2 linked regions of the Rattus norvegicus genome follow. The protein of the gene in region 1 interacts with the protein of each later gene in a biochemical or structural test. Links are inferred from orthologs where the notes say so. Each region holds a gene or a part of one and is shown on either strand. Other genes may lie near its edges.

Region 1 (4,108 bases):
TGAATGGTGACTGCCTGGAGACTAGGGGAACCCTTGTAGAATTCTCTTGTTGCTTGATCGGAAGGTGGGGTGTAGATGCCCCCTGCCCCACCCCAACACCCCCTTAAGGTTTAATTTTTATTTATGGGCATGTGTGTATACGATGTATACTGGTGCCAAACGGCATCAGATCCCCTGGAGCTGAGGTTATGGGCGATTGTAGGTTCTGGAAACCAAAGTTTGGTCCTCTAAGAATAGTACGTTGAGGCATCTCTCCAGCCCCTGTAGGTGCCCTTTATTCTACACCTCTAAGTCTACATCTTACTTTACACCTCTGAGACAGTCCACATGTCGGGGTGTATAAAGAAGACTCAGGAGGAATCCAGCACCAATCCTGTCAAGCTGAGGAGGGTTGGTAACAGGTACGTTGAACTCACAATCCTTTACCTTCCTCTTAAAGCCCCAGGTAAGCTTCAAAGCCTAAGGCTTGGACCAGGACTAGATATTAAGGACTCAGATAGTAGAGGGTCTCCTGTCATTTTGGGCCTCACAAACCCAACCCACGTGTATGGTATTCCTTGGAGATTTTAATTCTCCACCGAGCCAGAGATCTCCAAGAGGTCCGGGTTCTCTTGGACCGGAGGCGGCCAAATAATTCCAAGAAGCTTTCGCCAGTGGGCTTTTGAAGGAAAACCGCGGGTTTACCTCCTAGCCTTAAGGGCAGGACCACTGGAGAGTCTACCCTCATACCTAACTGCCCGGCCACACCCGAGGCCTTCGCGCGGCTCCCGCCCGACTCCGGGTCCCGCCCCCGCGTGTCAAGCTACGGGCTGAGCAGCAAGATCGCAAGCTTCTCCGGCGCGTCAATGACTCAACCCTAAAAGAAACGTGGGGATTCCGAGCCCCGCCCCTGCCCCGCCCCACCCCTGGCGCACTCGCGCGCCGTCCACGCCCACGCCGGGCCAGCAGTTGCCCTTCTGGCTGGAGTCCTGTGCGCGTCGGTGTAGGTCCCCTGGGAAGAGTCGGAAGACTTGGGCTGCGTCCTCTCCCTGCGCTGCCGGCTGGCTTCCGCCACCGCCGAGAAGCGACCCCGCGCGGCGGCGACCGACCGAGTCAAGTGTTCCCAGCGGGAAACCGCTCCGGCGCTGCCAGCTGGGCCGGGCGGAGCTGCGCGGGCCGCAGGGTGGCTCTGCCAGTCCCAGAGTGCCGGGTCGGCCGCACACGTGTCTTAGCGTCACGTCCGCGCGCGCCCCCGGGGCTTGCGTCAGCTGCGGCTCCTGAAGCGGGTGGGCCAGGGCTTTGCGCACCAGAACGCCTCCGGAGGAGGGCACCGCACGGCCGCGATCCCCGAGAGCGTCGACCACTCCGGGCGCCGCCGAGAGGATCGGCGCGGTCGCGTCCCCGCCCTCCCGGTGCTGGTCGGGTCCGCGCCCGGTCCCCGGACTGGGCGCCGTGGCGTTACCCCGGAGCCCGCCACCCGCGGGGCGCGCACCGCCTTAACCCGGGCGGCCCCGCGGCAGGCAGAAGCCCGCAGGTCCATGGTGGGCTCGGAGCGCGATGAGCCGCCCGTCCTCCACCGGCCCCAGCGCTAACAAACCCTGCAGCAAGCAGCCGCCGCCGCCTCAGACCCCGCACGCCCCGTCCCCGGCTGCGCCCCCGGCTGCCGCCACCATCTCGGCTGCGGGCCCCGGCTCGTCCGCGGTGCCCGCCGCGGCAGCGGTGATCTCAGGCCCCGGCGCCGGCGGCGGGGCCGGCCCAGTGTCCCCGCAGCACCACGAGCTGACCTCGCTCTTCGAGTGCCCGGTCTGTTTTGACTATGTCCTGCCCCCCATTCTGCAGTGCCAGGCCGGGCACCTGGTGTGTAACCAATGCCGCCAGAAGTTGAGCTGCTGCCCGACGTGCAGGGGCGCCCTAACGCCCAGCATCAGGAACCTGGCTATGGAGAAGGTCGCCTCGGCAGTTCTGTTTCCCTGTAAGGTAAGTCCAACCACCATCCGCAAATCTGCCAAGGAACCTTCCAGAGTTCCAGTGCCCTCCAGCGCACTTGAAGGCCCTGAGAAGCGAATGGCATATCACTGCTTTCCTTCTTTCTGTCTCCTTCTCCATGTGTCTGTCTCTCTAACACTCTCTCTCTCTCTCTCTCTCTCTCTCTCTCTCTCTCTCTCTCTCTCTGTGTGTGTGTGTGTGTGTGTGTGTGTGTGGGTGTGTGTGCCTATTGTTAACCGCCCACCTGTCCATTTTGGGAACTAGCAACTAGGGTTGATGTTTGCCAGAGCACTGACTGTAGATTAAGTTGGCACTTGCTGCGGGTTAGAAGCATCCCAGCTCTTTCAACCGAGTGCCGCCGCGTCCCCTGCAGGGGTGTGCTCTGTAAGGCTGGACAGCTTAACTAAAACTGGGAAGCTGACCGTGTAGATTGTGGAGGAAGGACACGGACGGTTTCCAGCAACAAGCATGGTTAGGAATGGACCCAGTGCCCAAGATCTGGGAGCTCTCTTGAGAGTGCGCTTACACAGGGGAAGCGGATACTGCCTGCTTCACTCGAGTGCGGAAAAAATCCTGCAAGCCACGCCTTCTCGCAGCCTCCCAGACTTGGGGAGAACTCTGAAATTGTGGCTGCTGTTTGGGGTTTGGTTTGGTTTGGTCTGGTTGTTGTTTATTACCTAAGCGCGACCACGAGGACTCATCGAGGACACTCAAGAGCTTTGTTAGTTCTCTTCAGTGCCAGCATTTTATTTAAAGAGTTACCTGTGCTCCTGGGGAGTAGGGAGGAGAAGCAAACCACAAGCCAAAGTGCAAGCTCTCATTCCCTTGTTCCACCTGTTCGTTTAGAGCCTACATTTACACCCGCACAGCTAAATTAATAGAATCGTTAATGTCTGCCTCTGAAAGCTTTTTTAAAAGTACCCACAGAGATAATGTTTTTTCCCTTTTACAACCAGCTTTACAAATTAATATCCTCACCTGTTTCATGTCTGAAACTTGACTTGATCTTCTGTATTTTAAATGATAGGTTACATTTGTGTGGTTATACTGTTGCCAGTACTGAAGCCCTTAAAAAAAAAAAGCCTTACAACCTCATTTATATGCCTCTCTCTAATCTAGACCTCTACCAACGAGTTCATTTTCTAAAGTTGTAGGTGGGAATAATGTTAATATTTCTGAGATTTTTTTTTAATGAAAGTAATTGTTCTACCTGAGACAGTTTAAGTTGTCTTGCATTATCTCCTCAGTGGTGATTAGTTTTTAGGGCAAGATCTGTTTTAAACTAAAAATAGCTCACTGGAGATTTTCATTTTAGACTTCCGAGTCAAATCAGTAAAATGAGTGAGTTACTTTGGTCTTCTGCCCAACTACAAGCACAGTTAAAGTAGCTTATTTGAATAAGGGTTTGAATGAGGGTTTAGGCTATAGGGTCACCTTATTAAATTGCTTGCCTTTAGCCTCACACCCGGTACTGCTTATTAATTCACTCAGTGCAGCATCTGTGCAATTTGAATTAAATATTTTCATGCCTCCTCCTTTTATTGAAAGTAGATTTTTTCCCCTCCTATAATACAACCTGGTTACAGTCGGTCTGCCCCCCTTGCTCCTCCCAGTTCCTTCCCACCTCCCCTCCCATCCAGATCCACTCCCTCTCTGTCTCTCATTAAAAAAGAACAAGCATCTAAGGGATGATAAAAATAACATAAAGACCAGGAAAAGGCACAAGGAGTCAAAGACCCCCTTGTTCTCACATTCTGGAAGTCATAATTTATACCCAGAGGACCCTTGCAGAGGTCCTTCAGGCCCTGTGCAGGCTGTGTGTCAGGGTCTGTTCTCCATCACTGTGGGTCACTCAGGATGAACTCTTTCTAGTTCTGTTCATCTGCATTCTTCTTAATGGCTGAGTAATACTCCAACGAGTAAAAGTTCCACGTGTTCTCTATCCATTCTTTAGAGAGCCATCTAGGCTGTTTCTGACTTATGGTAATTATAAATAGAGAAACAATGAGCGTGTTTGAACAGGTGTCCCTGTGGGAGGATGAAGCACCCTTTGGCTGTATGACCAAGAGTGGTAGAGCTGAGTCTTGAGGTAGATCATTTCCCATCTTCCTGAGGAACCACCACACTGATTTCCACAGTGGCT
Region 2 (3,645 bases), on another chromosome or scaffold:
GGACAGTTTTGTGTGGTGCTCCGACTGTCCTATTTTGCGTCTGTGGCCTTCATGACCGTGGGAATGGGAAGATGCTGAACTGAAGTTGAATATAACTGTCTATAGCTAAGTCTGATACAAGTTCAATTCCAAAGTATGAGGGGGAATAAATAGTTATGGGCCAAAACCCACTTAAAGTTGAAGTATGGGTGGTATTTCTCCAGGATAGAGGTAACACATCATTGCTGATAAACCTCCTGTGAGACCAGGAAATAACTAATTATCTTCTTGGTTTTCAGTTACATGGAGGGGTCCTGCGGATATTTCCAGAAGGAAAATCATTTGTAGCAGACGTGGAGCCCATTTTTGATAGACTCCTGTTCTTCTGGTCAGACCGCAGGAATCCACATGAAGTTCAGCCCTCCTATGCCACCAGGTAAGAGGTGGGGGTCACAGTTCCTCTTCTAGGGTGCATACGAACCCTAGATTCCTGAAAACTAATGTCCTATATAAGGAAGTGCTGGGTACACCCCAAAACTGAGAGAACCTGTTTGGAGTGATGGAAATTGAAGGAGCCTCCTTGGGATTCATTAGCATACAAATCTGACTTCAATTTAAAGTAACTATTAACTTCCTGTTCTGTGAGTTGTGCATACCGCAGTCTCAGTCCCTTAGAATGTTTTCCCCTGTCCTTCTGTCCCTTCCTTCTCGACCATTAAGAAAAAGTTAGAGTTGCCTGGGCTTTGCGGTTCACTCCTGTGATACCAGCACTTGGAGGTTCGAGGGTTTAAGTCCCAAAAGCATCAGGGAACAGACAGAGCTAATGTTGAGCTGGCCCCCGTTACCACGTGTCAAGTTCTGCTTCTTTGAGTGAATTTACAGTCAGTTGAAGCAAAGAAAGAACCTTGGGAAGGAAAAGGGAATTTGTCTTGAATTTACTTCCTTTTCAACTCTTTCTATAGCTTAACATGTGTCTGGGCTAGCCTCATCCATGCAGTAACAATTGGATGTTATAGTTTTGTTTGCTCCATCCATCCATCCATCCATGCATCCTTGAGACAGGTCTCTTGTTGGGCTGGCTTGGAACTCACTATATAGCAGAGGATGACCTTGAGTTTCTGATCCTCCTGCCTCCACCCCCTAAGTGCTGCAGTCATAGGCATGGCCACTGCGTATAGTTTTTTCTGATGTTAGCTACGGCTTTAGGCACACAATGCAAGCATTCTATCAACTGAATAGACCCCAGACCATAATTCAATGTTCTTAAAACCTTTTTCCTTTTTATTTTTTTCTTCCCCCCTCCTTCTCTCCCCTCCTCCCTCCCCCACCCCCACCCGGGCACATGGATAAGCAGAATTCTAAAGTCAATGAACAACTTAGAATTGTAATCTTAATCTAGAAAGCCGATAAAAGCATTTACTCCTCTTCTGCCTTGAGTTCTCCCTTCTCTTCCCACACCACGGGCCAGGCAGGGAGCAGAGTGGTGTGGAGTAGGGCTTGTCCTGGGAAGGGTGTTGAGGTGGGAAAGCTGTGGAAGGATGGTGTTCAGCATTATCAAGCTTAGCCTTCTGCATAGCCCTATAGACATCCTGACCTGAGCTCCAGTTACAGATTCAGTCACACTGTGACATGCTCTGCATAAACAGGCCACGAGTCGCTGCCGCTGAAGTCTACCTGCGGCTTGTTTTATGGGGTTCAATAATAGGACCCTGTTTTGTGGCAGGATTCTCTAGTTACTTCCAAGCCCCACTGTGACCAACTTTATAGAGGAAACATTAGCAAAAGTGATCAGAAGTCCCTGGGGGTTGAGTTGGGGATGGGGTGGGGTGCCGTGGAAAGTACTGTAGCTAATGATAATTATAAAAGTAGAAGGTTTAAAAATCCAAGCATGAGATAGTGCCAATTACAGTCCCTTCCACTAAAGCAAGTAACAGGAGCAGTGGAAAGCCCAAAGGTATCAGTACCGAGCTGAGTCTTGGCACCGGTGCTGAAAACTAAAGAAAGCAGGGCGAGAGTTAGGGTGGACAAAGCTACTTGTGAACACTTCCCTCGGATGTTGTTACCTCCCCTTCTCTGTTCTCTTCCGTCATCTTGGGTCTCCATCTATTGCGGGGCAAGTCTCTTTCAGGCCTTCCTAGGCAGATTACCTTTGCCCATTGCATTCTTACCCCTCCAGTCAGTCACTGGAGCCTGAGCTCTTAAGGGAAGTTTCTAGGGATAGCATCGTTGAGTTCCCAGTGCTCGGAGCAGGACCTGGCAGTCCCCGGAACGCCTGTGTTACACAGCATTTAAACAGAATCCGTCCCAAGGAAACACTTGTACATTAAAACGGTGGTGGTTTTGCAAGTGATTTTACTGTGAGCCTCACAGAGTTAGTTCAAAGCTTTTGGTGGTCTCCAATAGCACGTGTGTTTCTTCCACAGGTACGCCATGACTGTCTGGTACTTCGATGCTGAAGAAAGGGCAGAAGCCAAAAAGAAATTCAGGAATCTAACTAGTAGGTGTCTGGCCATTTCTGCAACTTTAGTTTTATACTTTTGTAATGACACTGTTTAGTCTCAGTCGTGACTTAGCTTCATGTGTAACGATACCTAAAGCCTTGACTTTCATGCTCTTAGAGGAATCAGAAGGACACGCATGGGACATTGCCCCTTGGGATGTCCACTCACTGTGGGATGGTTTGTAATAGACAGAAATAATTAACTTTTTATTGTGACTGTTAATCAGTCATGTCTAATATAAAATTTTGCTCACGGATTTAGCATTAATATAAAAGTATAACAGATCCTAGTGCCAGTGGTATGGGATTGTGGCTCGGTATAGAAGAAGTAGGGCTCTCACACTATCAAACCGATATGATTTCACATCGTTCCTGGCATCCGCAGCCAGCATTCATAAGCCATGCTTCTCAATACTGGCTATGCTAAGCTGAGCTTGGCGGAACAAGCACGAGGGGCTCCACCAACTAGACTGGGGCAGGGGGACCGTGAATTTGATGTCAGCCTGACCTCTGTAATGTCCGGCCTCCCCAAAAAGTTATACGAAAGCAGTAATCCTACCAAGTTGGTTCATGGAAAGGTAAACTTCTGTCCCTCTGAATACAGGAAATGCTGTGTCCTGTATCCCTCTTTCGAGTAACTGAGTGTTAGTATACTGAATTGATCCTAAGACGTCCTAAACGGAAAACGAGAGATGTCGCTCAGTTGGAGCACTAGTCTAACGTGTGGCATGTCATGGGTTCAATTCTTTTTACTGCCAAATAAATAAAATGTATTTTTACATAAAGAAATTGACGTAACTCTACCTAAGTCATGACCTCTGTACCTATCAAATGCCAAGAAAAGATGGCTTTACAAAGTTCTGTTGGGAATCTCAATTAGCTCTATAAAAGGGGATGTTTTTTACTAGAGGAGTGGGGGGGGGGGGGAGAGGGAGAGGGAGAGGGAGACTTGATGACTGACATAATTCATCAAATTTGACTCCCTAACTTGTTTTTCCCTGTTTCCAACCCAGGAAAAACTGAATCTGCTCTTGCTAAAGACTGACGGTGGTGTGAAGTCCGCTGGGCGCATTCGTTTAGTGACAGTTCCTGAAATGTTAAGTGTCAAGATCCAAAGACTCTGTCCAATCCCCTGCCTACCGCCTGCATCGTTTGGCTCCCTACCT

What was found. The genes of interacting proteins can lie anywhere in the genome.
Region 2: the proteins of Siah2 (region 1) and Egln3 form a complex in vitro, tested with the Homo sapiens proteins (2 studies listed by BioGRID). The link is inferred for Rattus norvegicus from reciprocal best matches to the Homo sapiens genes SIAH2 and EGLN3.

Annotation. Positions count from the first base shown.
Region 1 is NC_086020.1:145,078,866-145,082,973, reverse strand, and holds the start of Siah2 (E3 ubiquitin-protein ligase SIAH2), read left to right. Parts: upstream 1-1,298; 5' UTR 1,299-1,536; coding exon 1,537-1,956; intron 1,957-3,485; exon of another isoform or gene 3,486-4,108. UniProt on the Homo sapiens protein: E3 ubiquitin-protein ligase that mediates ubiquitination and subsequent proteasomal degradation of target proteins.
Region 2 is NC_086024.1:77,386,991-77,390,635, reverse strand, and holds part of Egln3 (prolyl hydroxylase EGLN3), read left to right. Parts: intron 1-278; coding exon 279-415; intron 416-2,402; coding exon 2,403-2,476; intron 2,477-3,492; coding exon 3,493-3,524; 3' UTR 3,525-3,645. UniProt on the Homo sapiens protein: Prolyl hydroxylase that mediates hydroxylation of proline residues in target proteins, such as PKM, TELO2, ATF4 and HIF1A. Target proteins are preferentially recognized via a LXXLAP motif.